Linked DNA regions of Schizosaccharomyces pombe. The gene in region 1 interacts genetically with each later gene. Each region holds a gene or a part of one and is shown on either strand. Other genes may lie near its edges.

The links.
Region 2: mutations in ani1 (region 1) and urk1 together harm fitness less than expected from each alone (positive genetic interaction), as found in Schizosaccharomyces pombe (2 studies listed by BioGRID).
Region 3: mutations in ani1 (region 1) and chp1 together harm fitness more than expected from each alone (negative genetic interaction), as found in Schizosaccharomyces pombe (2 studies listed by BioGRID).
Region 4: mutations in ani1 (region 1) and ase1 together harm fitness more than expected from each alone (negative genetic interaction), as found in Schizosaccharomyces pombe (2 studies listed by BioGRID).

What each region holds. Positions count from the first base shown.
Region 1 is NC_003423.3:4,062,464-4,066,460, forward strand, and holds ani1 (FKBP-type peptidyl-prolyl cis-trans isomerase), read left to right. Parts: upstream 1-2,056; 5' UTR 2,057-2,093; coding exon 2,094-3,179; 3' UTR 3,180-3,497; downstream 3,498-3,997. Other genes in the region: deoxycytidyl transferase Rev1, read right to left, coding at 1-1,695; sporulation specific PIL domain protein Meu14, read left to right, coding at 3,831-3,912, 3,954-3,997. UniProt on the Schizosaccharomyces pombe protein: PPIase that acts as a histone chaperone. Histone proline isomerase that increases the rate of cis-trans isomerization at prolines on the histone H3 N-terminal tail. Proline isomerization influences H3 methylation thereby regulating gene expression.
Region 2 is NC_003421.2:1,554,434-1,558,469, forward strand, and holds urk1 (uridine kinase/uracil phosphoribosyltransferase), read left to right. Parts: upstream 1-1,565; 5' UTR 1,566-1,673; intron 1,674-1,734; 5' UTR 1,735-2,011; coding exon 2,012-3,376; 3' UTR 3,377-3,480; downstream 3,481-4,036. Other genes in the region: serine/threonine protein kinase Ppk33, read right to left, coding at 3,791-4,036.
Region 3 is NC_003424.3:2,210,291-2,216,223, reverse strand, and holds chp1 (heterochromatin (HP1) family chromodomain protein Chp1), read left to right. Parts: upstream 1-1,878; 5' UTR 1,879-2,364; coding exon 2,365-5,247; 3' UTR 5,248-5,414; downstream 5,415-5,933. Other genes in the region: Rab11 family GTPase Ypt3, read right to left, coding at 1-409; aim18 (chalcone related protein), read left to right, coding at 5,549-5,933. UniProt on the Schizosaccharomyces pombe protein: Component of the kinetochore which plays a role in stabilizing microtubules and so allowing accurate chromosome segregation. Has a role in the RNA interference (RNAi) pathway which is important for heterochromatin formation and accurate chromosome segregation.
Region 4 is NC_003424.3:1,876,172-1,881,265, forward strand, and holds ase1 (antiparallel microtubule cross-linking factor Ase1), read left to right. Parts: upstream 1-2,017; 5' UTR 2,018-2,190; coding exon 2,191-2,614; exon of another isoform or gene 2,615-2,661; coding exon 2,662-4,433; 3' UTR 4,434-4,555; downstream 4,556-5,094. Other genes in the region: SPOM_SPAPB1A10.08 (uncharacterized protein), read left to right, coding at 88-715, 788-1,410; GTPase Ypt71, read right to left, coding at 4,708-5,094. UniProt on the Schizosaccharomyces pombe protein: Required for anaphase spindle elongation and microtubule bundling in both interphase and mitosis. Has a role in spatial and temporal regulation of septation and cytokinesis and ensures equal partition of segregating sister chromatids.

The DNA.
Region 1 (3,997 bases):
AATCCGAAGCTGAATTTGATGCAAAAGCACTTGGCATTTACCCATTCTGGAAAGCAACTCATGAAGCAACCGTTTTAAGAAATCTATCCCATCCTCTTGAAAAACGAAACGAACACCCCAATTAACATCTACGGATATGGACCTCCGTGGGGTTTCATTATTGATTATATCGGTATCAATTCCTCTGGAAATATTGTATAAATGCAGACCGTAATTTACCCCAAAAGTCTCTTGAAGATTGAATTTTTCAATTCTTTGCAGCTGCCCAATAGTACGCACACCGTACAAATTAAAAAGTTTCTGCGCTTGTGAAGAGCCCACCCCTGGTAAATCTTGAACAGACAAAGGACTCAATACATCAAAAACATTTTCTATTGACAAAGAATAAACGTTGTGAGGCTTCGCCTTCCTAAGTGCAAGTCTTGCTAAGAGAACATTTGGGCCAATACCAACGCTAACTTCGCAATTGGTTTTCTCGCGAACCTGCGAGCGGATAGACTCGGCAATCTCAAAGCAATCTTGAAAAGATGAAACACTAGAAGTTATATCTAGAAGAGCCTCGTCTATACTTATAACCTTAATATAGTCGTGAAGTGTATTAACAAGGATAGTGTAAAATTCTCTAGAAACAGATTCGTATGCTCCAAAATCATAATCAACAACCCGTAATGAAGGACACAGGTTTTTAGCTGTTCCAACGTACATACCATTTTTTATGCCAAACTTCCGAGCCTCATAATTACAACTAGCTATTTCGGAATTTTTTATACCATGAGCAACAGCAACGGGCTTCAGTCGTAGCTCATGAGAAAAGCGTGTTGAAACGGAAGCAAAAAAGCAATCAAAATCAACATGAAGAAGGAAACGAGATTTTTTTGATTTATCTTTCATAATTGGACGAACAGGTTCAGAAGCAGTAGTCATTGCTTGGATTTCATTTTTAAAATCAGCTTTCCAAGTACTTAAGTGATGTAAACGAGAGGAGCTAAAGAAATTCTCAAGAAAATCTTGATTTTGAGTGGTTGAATTTCGGACATTGGGATTTTTTAACAATTGATAGTTGTGCAGTGAAGACGCTGATAATCCACTCAAATCATCTAAAAATCCCTTTGCTTTACTCTCTTTTGTTTTATCTTTTTCATTATCATGTTCTTCTTCCTGCGAGCTTGTTTGAATATCTTCTAAGTTACCTTCGGGTTGGCTAGGTTTAGAGGCGACAAAAGAAAGGGTAGCTTGAGCCGATGAAGCTTGAAAGGTACGATAATTTATCCACGGAAGAATTTTCTTCTGTTTGATGCAATCCACTATCCATTCTGGTTTAACCACTTTCTGATGCTTCCATTGGCGAGCTTTGGAAGGAGTGAGAAATGAACACACCAAATATGATATGCTTGTTTTTCCATCAACATATTGTATAAAAGTACCTCCATTTGAAACTATCATTTGCCGTAATTCGGTATAAGACGGCTTTGTATATCCATTAATCGCTATTGCAAGTCCATGAAAGAGATCAGATTTAGAATCTTCATCAATACTTTTGTATAGAGCGGCATTTTGATTTTGAAGCTTTCTTTGTTTCCGGGAAAAATAATCTGCATAGTCGTGGAACCCAACACTTTCGTATGCCTCATCGTTTGCTTCGTCAAAGTCTGCAATCCCTACTGGGCGTCGACGCTTCCTTTGATTAAAAGCCATCCAGCGCGCTTCTCACTTTCAGTAAATATAAGTATTAATATGTTTCTGAAAGGAAAATAATACAAATAATAATGTAGCCACTTAAGCGGAAAAAGTGTAATTAATAAACAAACAATGTTTATAAAGAAAAACTAACTGCAAGAGCTTTTTTCTTTCATTATTTAACCTTATCCCAAAACTCGTGAAGCCAAACTATTTCAAAGTAAAAAACAACGAAATATCAAAAATAATTACTACGCGTTTGTTGTGATGCACGCTCGTCCAAATTTAATTAATTTTGAGTATAATTTGCAAATCGCGGTAATACGCACTACCCTTACTTAATGGAATACACAACGGTTTATGTATCAAAATTTTTTACATCCTCTACCACCTCACCTCTTAGGCAAGAATAAGTCATGTCTCTTCCAATTGCTGTTTATAGTCTTTCGGTAAAGGGAAAAGATGTTCCCGCTGTGGAGGAATCTACAGATGCATCTATTCATTTGACTATGGCATCCATTGATGCCGGCGAAAAGTCTAATAAACCAACTACTTTATTGGTGAAGGTTCGTCCCCGTATCCCCGTTGAAGATGAAGATGACGAAGAACTTGACGAACAAATGCAAGAGCTTCTGGAAGAAAGCCAGCGTGAATTTGTTTTATGTACTTTGAAGCCTGGTTCCTTATACCAACAGCCTTTAAATTTGACCATTACTCCTGGCGACGAAGTCTTCTTCAGTGCATCTGGCGATGCAACCATCCACTTGTCTGGTAACTTTTTGGTTGACGAAGAAGATGAGGAAGAGGAAGAATCTGACGAGGATTACGATTTGTCTCCTACTGAGGAGGATCTTGTCGAGACTGTCAGCGGTGATGAGGAAAGTGAAGAGGAATCTGAGTCGGAAGATAATTCAGCATCTGAGGAGGATGAATTGGATTCAGCTCCTGCTAAAAAGGCACAGGTTAAAAAAAAACGTACTAAGGATGAATCCGAGCAAGAAGAGGCTGCTTCTCCTAAGAAAAACAATACCAAGAAGCAAAAGGTTGAGGGTACCCCTGTTAAGGAAAAGAAGGTTGCATTTGCCGAAAAACTTGAACAAGGACCTACTGGTCCCGCTGCTAAGAAAGAAAAGCAACAAGCTTCTTCTAATGCACCTTCTAGTCCCAAGACTCGTACTTTAAAAGGAGGCGTGGTTGTAACTGATGTTAAAACTGGGAGCGGTGCGTCTGCTACCAATGGGAAAAAAGTTGAAATGAGATATATTGGGAAGCTCGAAAATGGAAAGGTTTTTGACAAAAACACTAAAGGTAAACCCTTTGCTTTTATCCTTGGTCGTGGTGAGGTTATTCGCGGGTGGGACGTCGGCGTTGCTGGAATGCAAGAAGGCGGTGAGCGTAAGATTACAATTCCTGCTCCCATGGCTTACGGCAACCAGAGCATTCCAGGAATTCCCAAGAATTCTACCTTAGTTTTTGAAGTCAAGCTTGTTCGCGTTCACTAAATTTTCATGTTGAAGATGAACATACTTTAACTCCCGTGTTTAAGAAGATCGCGGATTAAACTATGTATTCTATTAACTCTTTTTATCGCCTATCTTTTTCTTAGGTTTCAAAAAAAATCAGGGTATCATTTTGTATTTGAGTTAGGAAATTTTTTTTTAGTTAAGTGTTACAAACACTTTGGATATAGGACTTTTGGATGATTTGGATTGTTGGGTGATAAAGGAGATATAATCAATATACAATTTTTTAGAAAGAGCTGTTTGTATGTGTATGAGCATTAAGAGAAAAGAGAATAGCGCTTCCTTGATCGATACTAGTTAAGGATGTTTAAATTATGGAATTTTGAGTTTGAGTAAATATAAACGAGAACATTCCGAAAAACTCTATTAAAAGTAAAAAAAAACATATTGATAATAAAAGAGCCATTATCTGATTATCGCTAAATAAGTCTACAAACAGCTGTTTGTTTACGAAATTCTTAAAATTAATTATCGTAATAATCAACTTAAAAAAAAACAAGCAGTTTTAGAATTTAAAGAATTATTTTTATTATTTGTCTTTTTTCTATATTGTTTATTTGAAAATTGTGCTTCTGTTTACAGGCAAATCTTAAGGCGGGCATATATTTTTCTGAAACGTAAACAATCAACATGCCCAAATCAAGCAACTTGAAAATGCAGAGAAAAGGCTCTTTAAGAGAAAACGGTCTCGTGAAGGGTTTAAATAAAAATAGTAAGATATAAATTGGTGTGATAAATAAGTTAATGACATAGAATTTTCGATCAGCAAGTTAAAAGAACTATCTCATGCAGATGAC
Region 2 (4,036 bases), on another chromosome or scaffold:
TTGTCAATTCCTACTCCTGAAGTGAATAAATTAGCAGGTTAAGAATTCGTTCGCCAAGATAGGTGAAAGGAAAGAGAGGATGGAGGTGTGTCAATGTGAAACGAACAAAAGATGGCAAATATTATAAAACGGCTATAGCGTGATATCGTTTGTTAAAATATTAGATTTATTTCAATTCACTATTTTCTAGCTCAATAAGTGCAATTTATCATTACTAAAGGCATGGGTAATATATTACAACAAACGTTGGTAAAAGGAAGATGAGGAATTTAGTCATGTGGTACTCTTTTGTTTATTTTAAAAAGCGTTTTATTTGGTTTAAATTGCAGTTACAGTTTCAATTCTACAGCAAGTTTATGATAAAACTTTTCGAGTAAATGTGATGTGAAATTCAAGGATTTTTTTCTAATCAAATGAGGAGGGGAAGATATCTACTTTAATTTAATAAATCAATTGATTCCATTGCTATCGATACATGGATAATTAATTTGTGGGATTGAGAAGAAATTATGCGAACAAATTATCTAGGCTTAATATTCATGAGTTTCGAGTTTTAAATATGAAGTCAAAATTTGCGCAATTCGAGGTCATCAATGTCATTTTTTTGTGACGATTAGCCGTCAAATATGTTTAACATTGCACCGGCTTCAAATCTTTGCGTTTGATGCATTCACTATTCTATATTTTCACTTCTCTCGATATAGGGAAGAGAAATTTAAGGATTTTGCGTGTGCTAAGTAAGCATGTAAATGGGTTTCTATTCGAAAATGTACGCTTTTTTCAAATTTTTCTACTTTTTCACACCATTAATAGCGGATTACTCTACTTGATGGGTCAAACTGAATATCCTTTATACTATTTTCTAATTTGAAATTAATTGCCTATTACGAACAAAAGCGACGAGTTCTCAATATCATAAAACCTGCCATAAACTTATGTCCATTTACTTGGTTCTTCTGCACAAAAGAAACTTTCATATTCCTTTTTGTCAGTTCTCTTAGGTTTAAAAAAAATGGCAAAGCTACAATCTAAATCTTCGAGCGGCAAAATCATTTATTGAACTTTGAGACGATCTCAACCTAGCTGTTCTTTTTATTTCATCATTTTTGGAAGGTAAAAAATAATTTGAATCTGTTTTTCTAAGAAATGCGTATTAAGTATTAGTCGTGTTGATTTAGTTATTTATATAAACAAAGCAAGATTTCTCTTGCGTTTTTGAATTTGAGCCAATATGTTAAATTTCCTTATTGTCGCCTATTTTTATTAAATACATTTTTAAAGTTAAATTAAATATCAAATTTTGGTACAAGCTTCCAACATGTCACGAATGTTACAATTTTCACATAGTCAAAATTGATTAATTTCGAATATTAATTGCCGGATTTCTTTTAAATCTACATATAATTCATTAATTTAGTAATAGGTATTGCAAAAAAACTTCTCACTTCCGTTCTACAAACAAACTGCTCTTTCTTTATTCCCGATGATTACCGCGGCTCAGGCGCTGACTGAAAAAGTCACAGTGATAATGTTACCAAAGGATGAAAAAACAATGATATTGGATTTACCCTTCTCCAATTTATTGTTTCAACTAGTTTACTAGTTATTTAAAAAGACATTTCGAAAATCTTTCTATTTATGTTAAAATTTCCTAACATTTTTCCTTCCTTTGGGTTCGTATACATATATATATTTTTCTAATGGTATTGCTAACTCGAGATTTGTGATTTATAGAAAAAACTAAGCAAGTTTGAGAAGAGTAAGATAAGGAAACCATTATCATTCTACTTGAATTAATTCTGTTTGAATAAATATCTTTGGCTCTACAAATTGTGGAATATTTTCGTTTCACGCCAAGACAGAATTTACCTTTTAAAAAACGTTAGGTTCACCAATTAGTCTTTTTTTGCTCTACAGTTTTTTTTTTTTTAAACTTTCTTTAGTAATATTTCCTTGGAGGCTAGCATACCTTTTTTTTGGGCTTCTTATTTATTTTATTTCTTTCGTTATTATGCCTGAAGCTTTTGAGCGTTATTCAAGCAACCCAACTTATGAACCCCCATGGCGTAAAGTGCGATTTATTGGAATTGCAGGACCATCGGGTAGTGGGAAAACCTCGGTGGCCCAATTGATTGTAAAGGCGTTAAATCTTCCACATGTTGTTATTTTATCCCTTGACTCGTTTTACAAATCTTTGAATGCAGAGCAGAAGAAGAGAGCATTTAACAACGACTATGACTTTGATTCCCCCGAAGCCATTGATTGGGACTTGCTCTTCGTAAAACTGCTAGAACTTAAACAAGGCCGTAAAGTTGACATTCCTATATATAGCTTCAATGAGCATAATCGGCTTCCTGAGACCAACACGTTATTCGGAGCAAGTATCATTATTCTCGAAGGGATTTTTGCTTTATACGATGAAAAGATTCGCTCTCTCCTTGACGTCTCGGTCTTTCTAGATACAGATTCGGACGTGTGTCTCTCTCGTCGACTGAATCGCGATATCAACTATCGAGGAAGGGACATAGTTGGCGTTTTGGAACAATATAATAAATTTGTCAAGCCAAGTTATGAGAACTTCGTTAGGCGTCAACTATCTTACACTGATCTTATCGTTCCTCGTGGCCGGGACAATAAATTGGCAATTGATATGGTGATTAATTTTATTCGTAGAACACTTTCTATACAAAGTGAAACTCATGTTAAGAACATTGATAGTTTACAGCAAATTGTACCAACCATTCCCCATTTACCCTTAAATTTAGTTCAGCTTAAAATTACGCCTGAAATATCTGCCATCAGGACTATTCTTATAAACAAAAATACACACCCTGATGATTTACAATTTTTTTTGAGCAGAATTGGCACCATGTTGATGAATTTGGCAGGTGATTCGCTTGCATATGAAAAGAAAACGATTACTTTGCATAACGGAAACCAGTGGGAAGGTCTACAAATGGCAAAAGAGCTTTGTGGTGTTTCAGTTTTGCGATCCGGCGGAACTCTTGAAACAGCTTTATGTCGTCAATTTCCAACAGTGTGTTTGGGTAAGATTTTGGTGCAAATCAATAAAGTTACTCAAGAACCAACTTTACATTACCATAAATTGCCCCGTGGCATTGCTACCATGAATGTTGTTTTGATGGCTTCACATTTAACTACACATGCAGATGTCTTAATGGCCACGCAAATTTTAGTGGATTTCGGGGTCCCAGAGGAAAACATTATAATTGTGGTCTATGTTTGTTACTCTGAAAGTATTAAAGCGCTGGCTTATATTTTCCCAAAGGTTACCATTGTTACAGCATTTCTAGAAAGTGTTGCTGAACCCGTAGTCGGTAGATTGGATATCGAAAAAGTGTATTATGGATGCTGATATAACATTTATATGCGTGGATATAAAAAACAAAAGTTTAATGTCTGTTAGGAGTTTAGTGTACATTTTATTAAAGAATTCCCTTTGTTTGGATTATTACTTGCAGAAAACTACGGATAACAGGTGTTTGGTGATATAAATGTCATATTAATTAATTCGTGTAATTTCGTATCGCTCGATTAGAATAGTTCAGAAATTCAAAGTTATAAATAATGAAGTTTGAAATAGTTTAAGTGGAAACGCAGTCAAAATTTTTCCAGGGAAAATAAGAGACGAGACTATCAGGCAAGCAAAAAAAAATAGTAAAAAAATAGCAATACTATGTAACACATGAACCGAAAGACAAATCGTAGCTGAGAGAATCTTTGAATAATCATATATATTAATTAGTTTTGTAAACATTGAATCATTAGTTTAAAAAGTAGCCTCCAAATCTAAAATTGGGTCAACATATACTTTTCCAGATTTCGGACGGAAAATAGGAGTCAGGTTGCCCTTGGAAACGGTCTCCAAAGAGATAGAGCAAAAAAATGGATGTGTTTGAAGTTTCTTGCTGGAGTGACCCAACCTCTTCTTAATGTCCATTTCTAGAAAAGCCATAACAGCTGAACGAGCATCTTTCGAGATAGTAGTTAGCTTTTTATCCCGAGAAATATGAAG
Region 3 (5,933 bases), on another chromosome or scaffold:
CTTCAGTAGATACAGCTCTTAAATGTAGTAAATCCGTTTTATTACCAACAAGCATGATAACGATGTTGCTGTCTGCATGCTCACGAAGCTCCTTTAACCAGCGGCCCACATTATCGAATGAAGATTGTTTTGTGATATCGTAAACAATCAGAGCACCAACAGCACCACGGTAATAAGCTGAGGTAATGGCCCGATAACGTTCCTGACCGGCAGTATCCCAGATCTGTGCTTTAATTTTTTTGTTGTCAAGAACAATATTTCTAGTAGCAAATTCAACACCAATAGTACTCTTGCTTTCGATATTAAATTCATTCCTAGTGAAACGCATAAGTAGGTTTGACTTTCCAACACCACTATCCCCAATCAGCACAGTCTTGAACAAATAATCGTATTCGTCCTCTTGACACATGGCTAAGTTCTCTATCGGTAAATCTACGAACAATTTTTGTTAACAAATATTTAAGGTCAAATAATATCAAGGTATATACCTGTAAATTACAATGAACCCTGCTTTCGATAGTCGAAGAATTTACTTAGTCGTAGTTTGTTGTAGGTAAGTTGCAGAGGGATATCAGAAAACCTAAGGAAGTAATAATCCTTTATCATGGTAACAAAAAAAAGTCCACTAGTGCCACTGGCCGTTAAAATGCATATAACGCATTCCAATGATTCATTAAATAATTATACTGCGTTACAAAGAATGTCGTAATCATGAGAAGGCTGGTGTCGTTTAGTGATTGCTATCATCAAAATCATTATGCTGTTGTTCACTATAAAGCGCTATTTTGTAAACATTTTAAAATGCCTTTGATATAAAGAAGCGCAAGTACTCAATTGAATGCAAGTACTATCAATTATATGAATGACCGATTGAACCCAATCGCAAAACTGGATATGGACGGGTTGGTATGGGTTTTTACAGTGCGATTAGTCAGTACTATACCCATTTTAGTCCTGCATCAAACAATGATGTAGAAATTCTTTGAAAGCAATGTTTTGATTTCCAAGTTACAAAGTTATCTAGCCAAAGAAAGAATATTTTAAGTTCCGGTTTTTTCAGCAGCTTTTTCTCACTTTTATAATGGTCACAATGATCGAAATTAAAAATTTGAAAGAATAAAATTGGCGGCTCAATTGAAATCTTTTTCTTTATGCAAAAGTTATACAATGTTGGATGCTGCTCATGGCATGCAGGCATCCTTCATGCAGAAAGTTACTTGAGTAATCCATCGAATAATTATCGTTGGCAAATCTTGGGTTAACAAGAAACAAAAAAATCCTGCACATAAACAGTTTTTCTTATTAAGTTCATTTCATGGAAAACGAATAACATAGTTCCGTAATAATATAAGTAAATGGATCCCTTGGTTAACCTCTATATAAAATTAATGCAAGCAATTATCAAAAGAGGTCGTGTGGTTTAGATGGTTATAATTTCTGCTTAACATGCTAGTTCGCAGACGGTCCCAAGTTCGAGTCTTGGCACGATCATTTTTTTCTATCGTAGTAATTATTTACTTTTCTTATTGTACTACCAGTTTTGGAATGATATGTTGTGTTGAATTCGTTTATATAGAGTTAACACATTTAGAGGTATTATGTATAAACGCATCGTTTAATAAATTGCAGCGCTCAAAATCTACTCATTGTAGCTTTTTGAAAACAAAATTCATTATTTGTTTAAAGTTTTTCTAACTTACACAACCACCCAGAAAATAAAATTAGAAGTTCAGGAGGAATGAGAAAATTTTAAACATTTATCAATTTACCAACAAAGTTTTTTGACTACTAGTACCTCATGTATGCAACTAGTAACACTAGTGGTTAGTGAGTATTTTCTCAAAGTACATATGTCTCCATAGGTGTCTTCAAATCTGCAACCTCAACCTCACACACTTGATTAATGCAATAAAACTCCAAACCCAATCGAAAACTTATTTTTTTGTATATTTAACGGTTTGCGTTGGTGACACGACGGTAAAATCACGCGGATTTTGTTTGATTCCAAAATTCGAGTGCATAAGCCATCTTGCTTATTGCAGCGAGACTTCGAAATTCTAACATCTAAAAGCTTCATTACTGGAATTATCTGTTGTTATTCTTGTGTTCCATTGGTAAAAAAATCACAAGCAAAAGGGAAATATTTGAGCCATTTTAGAGGTTATACTCTGCCCTTCATGCAACTATAAAAGTAGTTGAAAGGGAAGAACTTTGGCTAATAGTTTTGTCAAGGAATCTATTCAATCTTGCTTAATTCCGTTTTTTTTTTAAATTCATATCTTTATCCTTTTATATATTTTTTTGTTGTAATACTTCAATCTCTCTTAGCGACACGTAGGTGAGCAAAAAACCCGCTACCTTGAAATGGTATCTGTTAAACCACTTCCTGATATTGACTCGAATGAAGGTGAGACAGACGCGGATGTTTATGAGGTGGAAGATATCCTTGCTGACCGCGTAAATAAAAATGGCATAAACGAATATTATATAAAATGGGCTGGCTATGATTGGTATGATAATACTTGGGAACCTGAACAAAATTTATTCGGTGCGGAAAAAGTGCTTAAAAAATGGAAAAAACGGAAAAAGTTAATTGCTAAAGGCTTGCTTGAACCTTTCGATGCGGAAGATAATGAGGCAAAGAAAATGAAGAGAGAAAAGGAGATATTGAGGCAACAAAGACAAAAGCGCAAATCCGAGCTTACCCAATTATCTCAAAAAGTCAAAGAAAAATTCAAAAAGATGCGTAAGAAGCCTGCCCGAAGGATTGTAACCATCGCAAATGATGAAGAGGAAGAGGACGATCAGACAATGGATGAGGATGCGTTTGAGAGAAAAAGTATGCAAGGGGAATTGAAGGAGAGGAATTTGACCGATAAAACTAGCACGCTATCCACATCGTTTGGTGAAACTAGCCCTGATGTTAATCCTTTCTACTTATCAGAGTGGCCTACAGTTACCGACAGTATTTTATTGTCCAAAAGCCTCTCCAGCGATGCAATACCTTTGAAAAATGGCGAAATTAAAAGCACAATGTTGATGCCCAGTGACTCTGACAACTCAGTTCCCGGAATTCAAAATTCGAACAATCTTGAAAATACTGGCGCTTTTGTTGAAAATGCGAATTCACCACAATCTAACACCCCCTTGTCAACCTTTAGGCATTCAAGCCCTTTAAGTCTGTCGCCAGTAATAACTTCCGATAATGATGTTGCCAATTCATTATTTTTTAGCAATTCGACTCCTCTTCCTTCCTCTTTGAAGATAAAAAAGGAAGCACCGAAATTAGAAACGCATACGATATTAGTTAGTGATAATTCTGGTTCTTTAACGAAGCAAGATATTTTATCGTACTTTGCTTTTATCAAAGGAAATATTGAGGTCTTTTTTCTCAAATCACCAAAGAAAGACAAAGTTTGTAATATGGCCTACATTCAATTCGATTCTATCGAACAAGCCAAACTTGCGTATGATAAAGGGCATCCAAGTTGGCATGTAACTTTAGTAAAAGGGAAGATATCAACTGATATGGAAGAATGTAAAGTCTCAAAGTCTATTTTAAAAACAACCCCTTCAAAGAAAGCAAATGCAAGGTCCGTTTCTTTTACACAAACAACAACAGATACCCTTTCTGAGTCGGAAAAATTTGCTAGCAATGTCGATCTGGACGAAAATTTCGATTTCAACGTAAACGTGACGAATGAAGATGCTAAGCAGCTTAAGAAAAGTGTTATCGGAAGTAGTTGGACTACTGTTAATAACGACTGGAACAGTGTTTCTAAAAGCGATCAAACTTTTGAAAATGATGGAGCTAGCAAAGTAGTTCCGGCTGGTAATATTACTTTAAATTCGGATAACTCTCTTCACCATTCGATAAGCGAATCCGAAGATCTTTCTTCAGCAAGCACATTGTCTGATTATTTTAGATTCGTTTTGCGAGTCGGAAAATCTCTCTACTATGCTGGAGAATTGTCATTTGATATATCCAAGCTTAAGGCGGAAACTGAACATCAACAGTTGTTACGAAGTTTAGTCAGTTGCAAGCAAGTAGATGTTTTACGTTTTGTTACTTCACAATATCTCGAGGTATTTGGTACTTGCTTGACTAAAGTTCTTTCCGGAAGTCTTTGTATTCGAAGCGATGTTGATATGACTCACTTTAAAAATATACTAAACCGCGGCAACGGTGCTGGCATCGTTCTGGGTAGTAACTATACATTATTATTATTTACAGAGGATAATAATGCTTTAATGAATTTATACGATTGTCAAGGCCAAAGCAATAGCCCTTTTTGGATGGTGATTTTTGAACCTTTAGAATCAATCCTAGTCGAATGGTCGGCAAAAAATCTAAGGCCTAAAAAGCCATATCATAAATCCCAATCTTACTTGTCTTATTTACTACAATTAGGCCACATCGATTTACATAAAATAGGCGCTTTTCAAGCTACACAAATTTTAATTGTCTCTAAACAGCCTTCTCCGGAGGCAGAAGAATTGGAGGATACTTTTAGAGAAGCTGCTATTCCGACATTTCGAGGACTCGAGATTCCGGAATCTTTGTTTTTATCACAGAATGTTTTTGTTTTCCTGAATGTCTCACTAGAGGATGATTTTGATCAACTGCAATTTTTAACACTGGCGAAAAGGAAAAGTTGTAAATTTTTCTTATTTGGTTTGTCACTCCCTCTCAAAAGTCCTAATGATTCACACGTGGGTACGGACTTTAAGAAAAACAATGAACCCCTTGATAAGTTGACATATTCACAGTACTTAAGACCGATGTTTCCTAAGGGTGGGGTGGTATCTGTTACACTCTCAGCACTTATAAAAACACCACGGCTTTTGGAACTCATTAGTCCATTTCTTGAGATTAAAAAAGATTCATGGATTTTAATTCTACCCCCATCAATTGTGGATATGGTCAAGAGCTATTTTGTAACAAACAATCCAGACAAAAGTCTCTTGGAAATTCAAAACTTATTGAATACACTCCAGCGCTACCTGACCAACCCAGCGCTGAAGAACGTGACTTTGTATCAGGATTGGGATATTGTGATCGATGATAGCGCTGATGTATCTTTAGCCAGCACTCTACAATTGTACCAGAAAAAAAATTATGATAAATATAGAAGGTTCGTATTGATTCACGAGCTTAAAAATGAATTGACGCCAGTTAATGGCCTTGACATTGTTGACTATGATGAGTTCAAAGAGACTTTTATGAGAGCTATTGGTTTAAAATAGTCGTTTTATTTATTTTGGGATACGGCGGACAATGGGATATATAGACTGACATTTTTTCTTATTACGAATGGATAGGAATACTTAAAATTAAACTCAAAGACTTATACTAGAAAATAACAGTCTACTCTTTAGAAATTAGACGATTAATTAATTAATTAATTTTTTCACTATATAATAACCGTATGTTTCAACATTGTTAGTTGTTTTTGCGCACCTCCTTAAAATCTAGGATCTCTTGGAAAAACATGTGATCCAATACCAACCGGCTAATATCTGTGTGTGTGTATTTAAACTAAACAACATGTTTGGTACTCGTTTTTTTGCTTATCAATTTTGCAAGAATTGGTTATCGAAACGACCAGGATTGGTCTTTTGGAGCTCAGTAGCAACAATAAATGCCATGTATCAAACTCGCCCTCTATACTGTGAGAGTGTCACCAAGACAATTCAACAAACATACGAAGGATTAGTTCAAAAAAGAATTAATAATGAGGATGAACTATTTTTGTTAGGTTCAGGACCGCGATATGTTTCTTTTCTAAGTATTCATGTGTATGATATCGAATTGTATATTCAGAAGAAAGATGTTCAAACCGTTCACACTATATTGCAAAAGGAGGTAGATCCGAAATTAGGGCTAGAAATGAGTATGAAAGACGAAGAAATTGGAAGTCGGATCGTGGCAG
Region 4 (5,094 bases), on another chromosome or scaffold:
ACTGCTTTGCAATTAGAAACCGGTAGGATTTGATCAATTGGCTTTATATATAGGCGCTATATTTTCTTTCTTTTTACATTTCTTTCTATGATGACTCGGATGGAATTAAGACCATTGGAAATTGGCTTCTCTAAAGCACTCACAGAAGTAGCTCCGGTAACTTGTCAATGCGAATGTTGGGATCATAATCTTTGCAGCTCTCAAGCTAGTGAGATGGATTTAATTTATCAGTCTCAGGATACCCATTCTTGTGCATCAAAGCAAGACGCCGTTTTTCAGTTGCTGAGTGAAACCAAGATCCCTGTTCCCAATCGTTATAGAAAAATTTCACATCGCTTGAGTACTCTATCTAATAAAAAAACTCTTAAATCACAATTAGATCGTTTTTTGTCTTCGTCCAAAAAATTACACAATGATGATGTTAATAGAGGTGATTACTGCTTTCTTCTTTCTACACCTGTCGAGTGTTCTGCTTCTACCAACTCTCATTCTTACGACTGTTTGTGGAATTTTTCGTGTAATTCATTCCCTGAATACTCCTCCTACTCTGCTTCGGAAACGTCTTCAGTCGCTTCTTACTCTTACTATTCGGGGCCAAATCCTGCAACTCCCAGCTCTTCCTCTTGTAACCTCGTAAACGCAAATAGCCTTGATATTTACTTGAATATTAACAACTTAAAAAAATCCAAATCTGTTCCTCGTTTAAGAGGTCAATGTATGTTCTTTTAAGATTTTTCAACCTTTTCTCTTATCTTTTATTTATTCATCGTTGCTAACAATATCATAGTTATGGAGCCCGTAGAGCATAACCATCCACTTTCTAAAAGTCTTGAGGAGCAATCCTCTTTTTTGGAACAATCAAAGGATGCTTCCTCTAACTTGACCGCCTGCAATAGGAGTGGCTCTAGTTTATCATCTAATTTCTACTCATCTAGGTTGTCCAAAAAAACATCTTTAGCATCTTTAAATAAGTCTCGAGCTTCTTTACAGCATAAAATAATGTCGCTATCTCGTAATATCATCAGACGTGTATTTCACAAGCCAGAAGTGCATTTGGATCCAAGTGCCTCCATTTTAAATCTCTCATCTTCGCATGGCGAAAGCAACCTGACAAATGGTTTGCTTTGTCAAAATTTCAAGCTTTTTCAGGATGATTGGTTGATGGAGGATTGTGCGCCAGATGCCAATTTCACTTTGTACACCCCGCTTCAACCCTGGGAAAAGCGAAGTGTGAAACCTGAAATCAGACGTCCTCGATTAAATCCTAATTTTTTCCGAGTATTTGTTTTAGAAGCTCAAATGCGACGAGCTGGAAAGCTATCAGCAAACACTGCTGGCCGAGCCCAGTTAATTTACCTCCCAAAGCCTGCCGTTACCTTCTCCACTAGCCCTTTGCATGTTGAATTGTAAAAATTTAACGCATGACTTATATACATTTGCATTCTTCCAAGCTGGTTATATTTATTTTCATTTTTTTCTCACCCAATACTTTTTTATCCCTACTGTCTTTATGGACAATCGACTCACAATTGTTTCTTTTTGTTGTATATGATTTTTTTTTTAAAGGAAATGGGTTTCGCGATACTGGGTTGAATCCCAATTGCGGTTAATATTACATAAAATAATTCTCCCATAGTCCTAGATCCTGTCTTTGAATATGAGCAAATAAAAGAATTGAACAAATCATGAATGCTTTTCTCTCTTAGATGATATTTTGTATGCATAAGTCTAATTATATTGATTACGATAAGACTTAAAAAGTAAGCCTTTGTATCCTTTTAAGCAGTATTTGAATTTTCTTGTATCATATTTTAGGTAGAGCAAAAGATACCAGTTTGTAGAACTTTATGTGCTTCCTTACATTGGTATATTTCAGGCACATAAATATTCTTCAACTTACAATTCTAAGTATTTTGTTTATACTAAAAGGAGCTGAATAACGTTTATACAGTGCTGACATTGAAATCTATTTGCTTTCTTTGGAATATAAGCGCATGCTGAGTTACTTTCGCAGGCCAAGCCATATCCAACCACCATTTTTGTGCCAAGCTTTTATGCAAGGTTAATTCCTTGTACTGCTTGTTATGTTATAATATATCAACATCTTAACAGTTTTCATATCTTCCTTTATATTCTATTAATTGAATTTCAAACATCGTTTTATTGAGCTCATTTACATCAACCGGTTCAATGCAAACAGTAATGATGGATGACATTCAAAGCACTGATTCTATTGCTGAAAAAGATAATCACTCTAATAATGAATCTAACTTTACTTGGAAAGCGTTTCGTGAACAAGTGGAAAAGCATTTTTCTAAAATTGAAAGGCTTCACCAAGTCCTTGGAACAGATGGAGACAATTCATCATTATTTGAGTTGTTTACAACGGCAATGAATGCCCAGCTTCATGAAATGGAACAGTGCCAGAAAAAACTTGAAGATGACTGTCAGCAAAGAATTGATTCAATCAGATTTTTGGTTTCCTCATTAAAGTTAACGGATGATACTTCTAGTCTCAAAATTGAGTCTCCTTTAATTCAGTGTTTGAATCGTTTGTCAATGGTAGAAGGACAATATATGGCACAGTATGATCAAAAGTTAAGTACGATTAAAGGTATGTAATCGTCTTTAATTTAGACTTGTGTTTTAACTGATGTATAGAAATGTATCACAAATTGGAGTCATATTGTAACCGCTTAGGAAGTCCGTTCGTTTTACCTGATTTTGAGAATTCATTTTTATCTGATGTATCCGATGCTTTTACTGAATCTTTGAGAGGACGCATCAACGAAGCCGAAAAGGAGATTGATGCGAGATTAGAGGTTATTAATTCCTTTGAAGAAGAAATTTTGGGTTTGTGGTCTGAACTCGGTGTTGAGCCCGCTGATGTTCCACAATACGAACAATTGCTTGAATCCCATACTAATCGACCAAATGATGTTTATGTTACTCAAGAACTTATCGACCAACTTTGCAAGCAAAAAGAAGTTTTTTCCGCTGAAAAAGAAAAGAGAAGTGATCATTTAAAAAGTATACAATCAGAAGTTAGCAACTTGTGGAATAAGCTTCAAGTTTCTCCCAATGAACAAAGTCAATTTGGCGATTCATCAAACATTAATCAAGAAAATATTTCATTATGGGAAACTGAACTTGAAAAACTTCATCAGTTAAAAAAGGAGCATTTACCCATTTTTTTAGAAGACTGTCGTCAACAAATTCTTCAGCTTTGGGATTCTCTGTTTTATTCAGAAGAACAAAGAAAGTCCTTTACACCTATGTATGAAGACATTATTACAGAGCAGGTTCTTACGGCCCATGAAAACTATATAAAGCAACTAGAGGCCGAAGTTTCTGCTAATAAGTCCTTTTTAAGCTTAATTAATCGCTATGCCTCTTTAATAGAAGGAAAGAAAGAGCTTGAAGCTAGTTCTAATGATGCCTCTCGTCTAACACAACGGGGACGCCGGGACCCAGGTTTACTTCTACGTGAAGAGAAAATCCGTAAGCGACTTTCTAGAGAACTTCCTAAGGTTCAGTCGCTGCTTATACCAGAGATTACAGCATGGGAAGAAAGAAATGGAAGGACGTTCCTTTTTTATGATGAACCACTTCTCAAGATTTGCCAAGAGGCCACTCAACCAAAATCATTATATAGAAGTGCAAGTGCTGCCGCAAACCGCCCGAAAACAGCAACTACAACGGACTCTGTTAATAGAACACCTTCTCAACGAGGGCGTGTAGCTGTACCTTCAACACCAAGTGTTAGGTCCGCTTCTCGAGCTATGACGAGTCCAAGGACACCGCTTCCTAGAGTAAAAAACACTCAAAATCCAAGTCGTTCCATTAGTGCAGAACCGCCATCAGCAACCAGTACCGCCAATAGAAGACACCCCACTGCTAATCGAATTGATATAAACGCTAGATTAAACAGTGCTAGTCGGTCTCGAAGCGCGAACATGATAAGACAAGGGGCAAATGGTAGTGACAGCAATATGTCTTCTTCACCCGTTTCTGGAAATTCCAATACCCCTTTTAACAAGTTTCCAAATTCTGTATCTCGCAATACACATTTTGAATCCAAGTCACCGCACCCAAATTACTCTCGAACTCCTCATGAAACGTATTCAAAGGCTTCATCTAAGAACGTCCCATTAAGTCCTCCAAAGCAGCGTGTAGTTAATGAACACGCTTTAAATATTATGTCGGAAAAATTGCAAAGAACTAATCTGAAAGAACAAACACCCGAGATGGACATTGAAAACAGCTCGCAGAACCTTCCTTTTTCTCCTATGAAGATATCCCCCATAAGAGCATCACCCGTAAAGACAATTCCATCATCACCGTCCCCCACTACCAACATTTTTTCTGCTCCACTCAACAATATTACAAATTGTACACCGATGGAGGATGAATGGGGAGAAGAAGGCTTTTAAGCTTCTTATTTACCTAATCGATCAAATTTAAATATACATATTTTTGCATATGAATACAGCATATAGATAATTCATAAAAGTTTATTAACTGAGGTCATAATTAAAAGACTATTTACACCTAAAAAAAAACGTGTATCAATAGAGGGAAAAGAGAAGAATTAAGAACAGAAAGTAACCATAGTTTTGTTAAAATAGCAATGTAAAAAAATATTATGAAAAGAAAACGTATAGCACATTTTGAAATGTAAAAGAATCTGAGAGAGCGTGTGAATATCTAGCAATTACAAGAAGATGTATTATTCAAAGGCTTTGAAAGAAGCAAAGGTTCAGAGAAGTCATTAACAAAGTCATCTCTCGAGCTTTCATTTTCTAAAGCTAAACGACTGACTGTTTCGAAAAGGTCAGTAACGTTTGTATTTTCTTTTGCACTAGCTTCAAAATGAATCATATTTGATCCATGTTTGGATTTGCAATAGTCAAGAGCTCGATGAAGAGATACGGCTCGTTTAGACGCGTCTTTGTCGATTTGATTTCCAACGATAATGAAAGGGAATGCACATTCATCTTGTGAAGTTTGATATAAAAATTCTTGCCTCCAGTTTTCTACTGAGTCAAAAGACTTCGAGTTATTCACATTATAAACAATTACACAACAATCGGC